3 linked regions of the Callithrix jacchus genome follow. The protein of the gene in region 1 interacts with the protein of each later gene in a pairwise test. Links are inferred from orthologs where the notes say so. Each region holds a gene or a part of one and is shown on either strand. Other genes may lie near its edges.

What was found. The genes of interacting proteins can lie anywhere in the genome.
Region 2: the proteins of STAC3 (region 1) and SREK1IP1 interact in binary tests that used the Homo sapiens proteins (3 or more experiments, as listed by UniProt). The two-hybrid records come from large-scale screens. The link is inferred for Callithrix jacchus from reciprocal best matches to the Homo sapiens genes STAC3 and SREK1IP1.
Region 3: the proteins of STAC3 (region 1) and EAF1 interact in binary tests that used the Homo sapiens proteins (3 or more experiments, as listed by UniProt). The two-hybrid records come from large-scale screens. The link is inferred for Callithrix jacchus from reciprocal best matches to the Homo sapiens genes STAC3 and EAF1.

The regions. Positions count from the first base shown.
Region 1 is NC_133510.1:62,460,560-62,463,785, forward strand, and holds the end of STAC3 (SH3 and cysteine-rich domain-containing protein 3), read left to right. Parts: intron 1-930; coding exon 931-997; intron 998-1,176; coding exon 1,177-1,226; intron 1,227-1,516; coding exon 1,517-1,602; intron 1,603-1,762; coding exon 1,763-1,814; intron 1,815-1,902; coding exon 1,903-2,040; intron 2,041-2,230; coding exon 2,231-2,329; 3' UTR 2,330-2,684; downstream 2,685-3,226. UniProt on the Homo sapiens protein: Required for normal excitation-contraction coupling in skeletal muscle and for normal muscle contraction in response to membrane depolarization. Required for normal Ca(2+) release from the sarcplasmic reticulum, which ultimately leads to muscle contraction.
Region 2 is NC_133503.1:144,792,970-144,796,624, forward strand, and holds part of SREK1IP1 (protein SREK1IP1), read left to right. Parts: intron 1-1,334; coding exon 1,335-1,478; intron 1,479-3,655. UniProt on the Homo sapiens protein: Possible splicing regulator involved in the control of cellular survival.
Region 3 is NC_133518.1:54,233,614-54,237,268, reverse strand, and holds part of EAF1 (ELL-associated factor 1), read right to left. Parts: coding exon 3,617-3,655; intron 1,559-3,616; coding exon 1,422-1,558; intron 557-1,421; exon of another isoform or gene 453-556; intron 1-452. UniProt on the Homo sapiens protein: Acts as a transcriptional transactivator of ELL and ELL2 elongation activities.

The DNA.
Region 1 (3,226 bases):
TTTAGCATTCAATTTTAGAGGGTTTAGGGACCTGCTGCCGCTCCCCGTGTGCCTCTGGTTAAGAACTCCAGCCATAGATTGTTTTCTCAGCTCACTACAACCTCTGCCTCCTGGGTTCTCCTGCCTCAACCTCCTGAGTAGCTGGGATTACAGGTGCATGCTATCACACCCAGATAATTTTTTGTATTTTTAGTAGAGACGGGGTTTCACCATATTAGCCAGATGGTCTTGATCTCCTGACCTCGTGATCCACCCACCTCCGCCTCCCAAAGAGCTGGGATTACAGGTGTGAGCCACCACGCCCCGCCCCTGGGTTATATTCTAAGGGAATTATTATAAAAATTGTGCTATTATTTTTTTGAAGATGGAGTCTTGCTCTTGTTGCCCAGGCTGGAGTGCAATGGTATGGATCCAACTCACTGCAACCTCCCCCTCCTGGGTTCAAGCAAATCTCCTGCCTCAGCCTCCCGAGTACCTGGGATTACAGGCATGCACCGCCCGGCTAATTTTGTATTTTTAGTAGAAATGAGGTTTCTCCATGTTGGTCAGACTGTTCTTGAACTCCTAACCTCAGGTGATCCACCCCTGCCTTGGCCTCCCAAAGTGCTGGGGTTACAGGCGTGAGCCACCGCATCTGGCCATGCTGCTCATCTTTACTTACACACTGGAGTATTTTTAAAGGTTGACAGCATAGTCAAGGACCTGGAGTCTGGTAGTGAATTCCCTGTCATTTAGCTACATTCAAGCAGAATGTGGGTGACCCACCTGCCAGGATGTTTTAGAGGAAGGCAGGTGGCTAGACTAGCTATTTCCTCCAAGGCCTCTTCCAACCCTGAGATCCCATTATTCTATAGTTATCTGACCTGATTAGAGAGCGCTAGTGCATGGATTCCCAAGACAGTGTCTCCCTAACTCTGGTGCCCCCTCCAGCCTCTAGCAGCCATGATGGAGGAGGAGCCAGAGTCTGCCAGACCAGAGGAAGGCAAACCCCAGGATGGTGAGTGTCACCCACCTCCATCCAGAGATGGAGTAGGATCAGAGGCTCAGCTGTCGAACAGAGGGTGGAGGAGCAAAGGGCAGGCCAGCTTTGGATAGATGAGGCCCTTCCACAGAAGGGTAAAAGAGTAAGAACTGCCCTCCAGGAGACAGACAATTTGTTGGTGTTTCCTATCCCAGGAAACCCTGAAGGGGATAAGAAGGCTGAAAAGAAGACACCTGATGACAAAGTGAGAATCCTTCCTCCCTACAAGGACCCTGTCCTCTCCTCAACCCAGGTCTGACACCACCACTCATGGTCCAGCAGAAGCTCACTCTTTAACTCCTAGACTTCCCATCACCCTTGACCCACTCGCTCTATCACCTTGCACACCCACCAACAACCAAAAAACTCCTCTCAGTTCAGGGAACTAGAAGAGAGTTGGAGTGCAGAGTGTGTGGTGAATGCCCCTGCCTTGGAATCCTGCCCCTCAGTGTGGGGTAGAGGAGCCCAAGACTCATCATTCCCTTTCACCCCCAGCACAAGCATCCTGGCTTCCAGCAGTCTCATTACTTTGTGGCTCTCTATCGATTCAAAGCCCTGGAAAAGGACGATCTGGATTTCCCGTGAGAGGCCTTGGGGCAGGGGGCTGGTACTGTGGAGTGAAAGGGAAAGAGCTGGATTCCCCCAAGGAAAAGGGAGAGGGTGACTCAGGGCTTGGAGACTTGATCCAGGGTACAGGAGGGGACCTGCTATGTGAGTGAGGCCCTTCCCTTCCCCTCCCAGGCCGGGAGAGAAGATCACAGTCATTGATGACTCCAATGAAGAATGGTGGCGGGTGAGAGAAATGGCTAGGGCTAGGGTGGAGTGTGGGTTGAGTCCAGAACCCAAGATTGAGAGAGGACTCTCCCGACTATCTTCGCTAGGGGAAAATCGGGGAGAAGGTCGGATTTTTCCCTCCAAACTTCATCATTCGGGTTCGGGCTGGAGAACGTGTGCACCGCGTGACGAGATCCTTCGTGGGGAACCGAGAGATAGGGCAGATCACTCTTAAGAAGGACCAGGTAGGCTGTTGCCCCAGGTTAATGCCCCAGGCTAATCCAAGGCCTGAATGCCCCCTAGCCCACCACACTACTTGGAGAGCTTAACCATTAATGAGACTAGGGTAAGCCCCTGTAACCCCGGGCTCCCCTGCTGTCCTTTCCTACCGTTTCCTTTGATTCTTCTCCTACTTCTGATCCTTTAATCCTCTAGATAGTGGTACAGAAAGGAGACGAGGCTGGCGGCTATGTCAAGGTCTACACCGGCCGCAAGGTGGGGCTGTTTCCTACCGACTTTCTGGAGGAGATTTAGGCTTGCGGGCGCCCGCAGGCGGGAGACACCCACACCCATTCTGGGCGGGCCCAGTGGAATTTGGGGAGGGGGCGAAAGCAACAGGACTGCTGGGTAGATAGGAAGGCCTGCCTGAGCATGACAGGGCTTCTGGGAAGGGACTGGTTCTCGCCCCCTTCCCCAGCCTGGGGCCTCGGACACCTGCTGCCCAGAGCAGCCCGCACCTGAAACCTTTCGGGCCCCGCTTGCAAGAGCTGGAAGACAACGCATATCCACCAGGAGGAGCGAGGGACTTGGGGAGGAGGAGGGCAGGGGCGGGGGTGCGTGAACTGTCGAATGTTGCAAATTTATTAAAGTTTTGACAAAACGTAGAAAAGTTGTTCTTTAACTGGGGTTGAGAAGGCCTGCAGAGGGGTGGAGAATACCCCTCTGGATCATCCCTAACCCGAGATCCATCTGGGCTGAGGTTGACGGGAGGTGGGAAGACAGATGCAGCTGCCAGGCGAGGCCTCTGTTGTCAGTGAAGAAAGGGGAGCGCGGGACCCCCGCGCCCCAGAGGCTGGGAGCAGGATCTTGTAGTAGGGTAAGTCCCCCTTGTTCTTGGCGTTTTCGCCACGGGCAACCCCTTGCATTTCGGAATCTGGCTTGGAGCCCGAGCTAGGCCGCCAGGGGGCGATACAAGATCTCGGTTGGAGAGCGAGGGATGGGGAGGGGTGGAGGGTGGGTAAGGGGAGAGAACTGGAGACACCAAGCCCGAGACCCTGGGCCTGGGAGGGGGTGGGGTGCGTGCTGTCTCCATGGTAACACTTCCTCAAGTCCTCGGGGAACCGAGCTAGCGAGGCCAGGGGCCTAACCCTTCCCGTGCGGCCCCTGCCCTAACCCTTTCCGACAGGTACTGAGTGAGGACGCAGGGCAGAC
Region 2 (3,655 bases), on another chromosome or scaffold:
GCATAGACTTGTAGTGAATCATTAGTGGATCGTGAAATGAATTATTTGGTCACCATTAGCATTGGTTTTTTTGAACATTGAATGTAGAAATCCTTCATGTAACTTTTGTTTCAGTTTTTGTGTGTTAGGGTGTATTTATCCATGAATATGTGTGTGAGTGCACTTGGTTGCATTATTTTTCATTGTTCTCAATTGTTAAGAAAATTTGAAAGCTGTAACCCTAGAGAAAACCTAGTACATGTGCACAAAGAGACATGTACAACTAATTTCAACATTATTTATAGTAGCAAACTACTGGAAGCAACCTACATTTCTATCAGTAGTACGATAAATAAATAAATATAATTTTCATACAGTGGAACATTATCGATTAGATAAAATGAGCAAATTATACCTGTTTTCTTTAACATAGATAAATCACAAAATACTTGGTGGTGGGAAAAAACTTGCAGAATAATAGGTATAATTGAGTTTATTTTTTTGAAAAAATACATATCACAATGTTTGAGAATGATAGAGACCAACTTCAGTGCAGTCACTTCAGAGGACAAAAAAAAAAATAGGATGAGATTGAGAAAGTGTTCCAGAAGTTGATTCAGGCTCTCCAGCTGTGTGTGTGTGTGTGTGTGTGCGCGCACAGGCATGTGAGTGAGCTTTTCCCTTAAACAAATTTACAGTATGCCAAAATGTTAATATATGAATGATAGGTATTTAGGTATTGGTTGTATTATTGCCTGTACTTTTATGGTGTTTGTAATATTTGGCTTTCTAAAGCAATCATATGTAAGTAGATAACTGTTGTAGTTTTCTTATAGGGTAGAGTCTTTAGAGGAATGATGCAGCAATTAAATGTTTAGGTATTCTTCAGTAAAGCACATTCAGTTGTATTAATGCTTGTCTATTATGTCAACTTTAATTAGATGAAAGTATATAATTTTGTAAATATATTAGTCATACTGGGAAAGAAAAAGTATGGGTAAGGAATACAGTATAAAATTCCAAATATGATGCTTTTTAAAAAAATTTATTTAAAAAATTACTGTATTTTTAGAAAGGGAAATAGAATAACTCAGTACTTTGAAATCCATAAGAAGTGGTTTCAAAAAATGCTTATTGAATAAGGAGTTCTGAGGACAAAAGGAAAAAAATTCTTTGAGTATTATATTCATGAAAAAGTATAGGGAAAATAAACAACCACCAACTGATTAAAAGTTAAAGCTTTCTACATTATATTATTGAAATTGTAACTTCTTGGTTACAGTGAAGCAGCAAAACAAACAACAATATATCATGTATCTATAGCTTTATCAGTCACATTTTTTTGTTTCATTTAGCTGGTCACCTGACTTTTGAATGCCGCAATTTTCTCCGAGTAGACCCTAAAAGGGACATCGTTTTGGATGTCAGCAGTACAAGTAGTGAAGATAGTGATGAAGAGAATGAAGAACTGAATAAATTGCAAGCATTACAGGAAAAAAGTAAGCAATAATTTTTTTTCATTCTTTAGAAATGTTTGTAAATGTTCTGTCATATTATGTCATGCTTATCCTTTACACTTATCATTAAGAGCTCTTTTATAGTTTAAGAGCTCCTGCACAGGAAATGGGTTTTAAATATTGTAAGTTATTTACCTAAGATTGAACCAGCTAATCAGTTATGGATCCAGGAGGCAAGTCTATTTCTGATACACAGCTCATGTTTTTTGTTGTTGTTTTCCCCCTATCACATTAGAATATGTGTCAAATGGCTGAAAAAATGTTATTTAAGATTTGGTTCCTAGTCCTATTTGGCAGTTTGTTTTGGCACGTGATTTGCACCAAGTCACTTAACCACTCTGAGGTTCAGCTGCCTTTTAGGGTAACACAAAATATTGGATTGTCAAATCATGCTCATGCAGATCAGCGATCTTAGCCAGTATCAAGCTTCACTAATAATTTCAAGTATACAAGTGATCATGAGGCATAGGCAAAGCAGAGAGTTCTAGGCATGCCAATACAGCTCCCCAGGTATTTCCTTTCTGCTTCAGAATCCATTCTGATTAATATTAACGGAAGAACTTTCTTTATTACTTACACCAAAGAAAGTTGATTTGGTCATAAAACATACTCATTTTATGCTTGGATAGTTACATTTTCCAGAGAGTTATGCCCCATTAATCCATAGATTCCAGGTTTGTTTACCATAAACAATCTCAGTTGCATCCTACTGAAAGTATGTAAATAATAATTATATAAATAAGGATTCTGTAGCTAACAGATATCATTTATTTTTTTTCCAGGACATTTGTTGTTAGTGTTTCAGAGAAATTTCTCCAGGTCTGTCTTTCCTGGGCACATCCTCTTCTCTCCCTAGAGAGAGAGTGGATTGTAGACCTATTATTTAACCCTTTCTTTTTCACATTGTATATAAAATGGCTCATCCTTGCTGTGGGGTTTTTAGGGATTAAATGCGATGCTATAAATGAAACTACTTTGTAAACTACAGATTGTGATGTGATAAATATCACTCTGAAATAAAATATAACTTATTTGAATATGATCTTAGACAAGGAATGACAGTTGCAAATTTTAGATTCATTTTAGTTTAGACTATCAATGAATAGTAAACAATAAATTTTGTTTTTAATGTCAAGCTTTCCATATTATGTCCAGTTAAGATAAGTGAAGAAATCAAATGTAAGGTGCTAGAACAAGCTGAAAAGGAAAAAGAAGGAAAGAATCCCAAAGACAGCAAACAAGAGTCATATCATATACGAGTATATACAACTTCAGGGTAAAGATAATTGATTGAATACACACTCTTACTTTTGTTCTCTACTGAAATACCACTAAAATGACAGAAGTAGAAAATTCAAAAGCATAAACTTACAAAGGCAAAGAAAATGAGCTAGGAAGGAATAGCAGTAAAATTTTGGAAACTGAAAAGCACATGGGTGAGAACTGATTGCACTCTTGAAAAAGCTAAATTTTTTAGCAGTATGGAAAGCTATGGAGTAACCTGATATACATTTTAAAATCCCCTAAAGACATGATAATTAGTATCCTTGGGGTTGAATATAAGGCTAAAATCAGGAAGATTGGTTGGAAGTCTCCAGGAGTTAGATCTTCAGTTCCCTTCCTCTGTGAAGACAGATGAGTTCCCTTCATCATCCCAGCAGACTACTGGAGGTTTATTTTCTACACAAGGTAAAACATAGGTTCTTTAAATTGGTACACACTAACCATAGCTGAAAACAGGGAGGAAGTTAAAGGCTGAGAACTTTTCAGCCCTCCTCACCTATTTGATTCCCAGACATATATCACAATTAGTCTAGGAAATACTTCACTCAAATGAGTCCCACAAAGAAAATTTCCAAGAACTGAAGGACATTAGTTTTACAATTGAAAAGTTTCCACAAGTACCAAACACAGAGCTAAAAATAGACCCACACAAAGGCACAGCATTATAAAACTTCATATCACAGGGAACAAGGAAGATACAACCCAGACTTCCAGGATCAGGGATTAAACAGGTTATCAGTCTAAGATCAGGAGTCAATAGATTTCCACTTCTCCAAAGCAGTCCTGAAAGCTAATAGTTATGGGGATGCCTTCAAATTTTGGAAGGAAAATTATATCCAAGTCAGAATAATATTCTCAACCAAATTGTTAGCCAA
Region 3 (3,655 bases), on another chromosome or scaffold:
TATATACTGCTTATTCATTTCATCACATGCCAGCTCTTGCTCACAGACAAGCAGAGCTCCACCCCAAGCTGAGAATATTCTATCAGTTAACAATTTCTCTTGTAAATGGACTAGCTCAGTGCTTGTAAAACTTTTGCATATGCACAAATCACATGGTGATCTCTGCGGATTCAGATCTAATAGATGCTGAGATTCTGCCTGTCCAACAGAACCCAGATGATATGATGCTGTTCGTTCCCATATCACACTGAGTAGTAAGGGGATAGACCACAACCATCAGATATTGGAGGAGTAACAGTAGCACCTGGTTCACTGTAGGTAATGAACACAAATAAACAGAGTGGCAAGGCAGGAGCAAGGACTCTGCAGCACACTTTCTAGGGTGGGTCTAGCTCTCTAACCCTCGGTCTCCATATGTTCTTTTTGTTTTTAAAGATAATCATACATCTTTCATACTCTCTTCGCCAGCACATATACTAAAATTGGAACAATACAGAGATCGGCATGAACCCTGTGCAAGGAAAACACACAAATTCATGAAGCACTCCATATTTTTAATAAAAAGGGGTAAAAAATAATAATAGCAGCTTTCTAAAAATTACTTGTTAGCAAAAACAATGCACGGAAAGCATCTAGCAGAGCCTGGGGCATCATGACAGCCCCTCAATAAATGCTACCTATTTTCATTTTCTGTGCAATGAGTAAGGGACAAAAAAATGGCTTACTGAAACATAAAGAAAATCAGGTTGTGACAATCTTTATAATTTAATTCCTGTATTATAATAATTACTGTATTATAAGTGAGCTATGATCATGCCACTGCACTTTAGCCTGGATGACAGAGCAAGAGACCTTGACTCTTAATAATACTGTATTATAAGGTAAAAAATAGAACCACTCAGTTATTTCTATTTATAGAATGCATTTTTTATTTTCAAATTAACTCTAACTGGCTTCATTTTAGACATGTAATAACTGTTGAATTAAAGAGTTCACTATATTAAAAAACAGGCAAAGTTTTATTTTGGTATTATAGTGATCTCAAATATATCTTGTAAAAAATTAATGTCCTCACTCCAATGAAGCATAGTATATATTATTCTTTCATAATTATAAGTCTATAAGTTATCTTATTCCTTAGGTGGTACTGTAGCAATCATGAGATTAACAGAATTGGCTTAATTATAAAGTACATCGCTTTCCCTAATGGTTCCCATGTTTTAGGTCTTAAAAACATTATTTCTTTTTATTATATTTGAGTAAGACATATTTTACTGATTTGTCTGAGAAGACACAGGTAGAGCTGTTAAGATTATTGACAGAACACTATAAGGAAGCAGATGTTCACAACCTTATAAAAACTAAATAGATAAGACAGGTTTGGAAACATGATATAAACCTGCATCTAGCTATTCACATACCTTGTTTTCTTCACCTGAATGCTGCTACTGAGTTTTTCCAGTACATATTCACCAGTGTCATGATTAATAATAAGCACACAGTCTTTCTGGTAAGGCCGTTTGTTCCCCTTGAACACAGTCATGGGTGGCGTGGATCCCTATTTGCCACAAAAGTATAAGATGATCAAACTAAACATAGCAGTTATGAATACCAACTGAATTTACAGATGACTCTACCTGATGAAATGTTTTATTCGAGCTATTTAAAAAGAATAGACTGAACTGATTTCTATTTTAACTCCTTCTGGTTTCCCAGGCAAAAATAAAGGAGAAATAATATAGCAAGAATCTGTAAATGTGCAATGCATTCTAAGTAGTCAAGAAAGGTAGTATAAAAATTTTAAATTACTGTATATGTTCCGAGAGAGAAAAACAAATGAACTATTACTTGCATTATACTAAGCAGAGCTATCACTCTATATGGTACAACTGTGAGTGATCCCTTTATTTCTTCGAAATTAGAGAGTTCAAGGTTTCCCCTTCTCAAGGCAAGCAACCAACAGAGCATTTTCCAAGAGCAGGTCATTATCCTGGTTGGCTCAGAATAAATCAGTCAGGTCACTCATCTGCCTAAGCCTTTCAATCACTCCTCAGTTGCTCTCAAGCCAAAGGATAAAATCTTTAAACTAGCCAGGAAACCCTGCACTACTGGGCCCTTCCCTGGCTCTCCACCTTACCCTGCAGCAGATGCCCCTGGGCATGTGCTTCAAAGCAGAAGGCAATTGGCTTCTCTCAGATCCTCAAGCTCTCTCCTGCCTCTGGGCTTTAACAAGGCTTCTCTGGCTATATCCTGCCAGCTCTCTTTAAATTATCCAACCTCCAGATCTGCTCACAGGTTACTTCCTTAAGGAAGCCGCCCCTGATTTAGAATAACTGCTGTATTTTCTAGTATTTATTTAAACTCCAGACCATAAGCTCCACAAGGGCAAGAAATGTGCTTGTTTTGTTCAAGGTTGTATTCTTCATGCCTAGTGACGGGCCAATGTGTGGGAGGCATTCATTAATATTTGTCAAATATAGTATTTAATGCCTTGCTTAGAATCAAAAACCACTTGGCTCTTTGCTTATTTATATAGCAAACTATAGCGCTAGAAAGGACTTTAGGGACCATTTATCTAAACCTTTCATTTTACATATGGGAAACTAAGGTCCAAAGGGAGATGATGTAACCTGCCAAAGCCAAAAAGTAATCAAACAGCAGTTTGAATGGGCAGACCATTTTTCCTCAGTACAAAGCGTTCCAGATCTCCCTGTCTAGAGACTTTTCATTCTGTCACCAGCTACCAAGAACTTACGTTCCAGCATGGGGTGTGACATGCAATAACACATGTTCACTAAGAGCATCATGTGATCCTCTGGTGCTTCGTGATTAGTGCTGCCTTGGGCGCTAATTCACAAAAGTCTTTCTCTGCAAGGGTTCTTAATCCAGCTTTTAACTTAGTTCTCCATCCCTACATCAGTGGAATGTGCCAAACCTCTGGCTCCTGCCTGCCTTAACTCCTGGCTTGGTTGCCTCACACTCCTGAGCTGTTGTGGCCATATAATCAGCAGGGCGCCTAGACCTTTTCTCTCTAGAGTTGCTTGGGAGAAAAGCTATATCAAAAGTGGGGCTAGGTGTCCAAACAGGAACCTTGTCTACTCAGTAGCAGACAGAAGAAAAGGAAGCTTGGGCAAAATGACAAAGAATCTTTTTTTTTTTTAATGAGAGGGAGTCTCATTCCATCGTCCAGGCTGGAGTGCAGTGGCATGATCTTAGCTCACTGCAACCTCTACCTCCCAGGCTCAAGCGATCCTCCCACCTCAGCTTCCCAAGTACCTGGGACCACAGACATGCACCATCACCCCCAGCTCATTTTTTGTATTTTTTGTACAGACAGGGTTTCACCATATTGCCCAGGCTGGTCTTGAACCCCTGAGCTCAAGTTATCCATCCACTTCCGCCTCACAAAGTGCTAGGATTACAAGAATTATTTTTAATCAAGCACCTGCCTAGCATGAAGTCCACCCCACCCCACTCCCCCAAATCCCTTTTTTGCTTATGTTGCCACTTTAGAAATCTAAACATTTTTAAAAGTAGGAAGTTTAAATTGCAACAATATAAATGACAAGAATTCACTGTGATCCCACATTTAAAAAAAACAATGAAATAAACTCACAGGGATATGTGGCAGTGTAATTGTGACTTCATCTCCTTT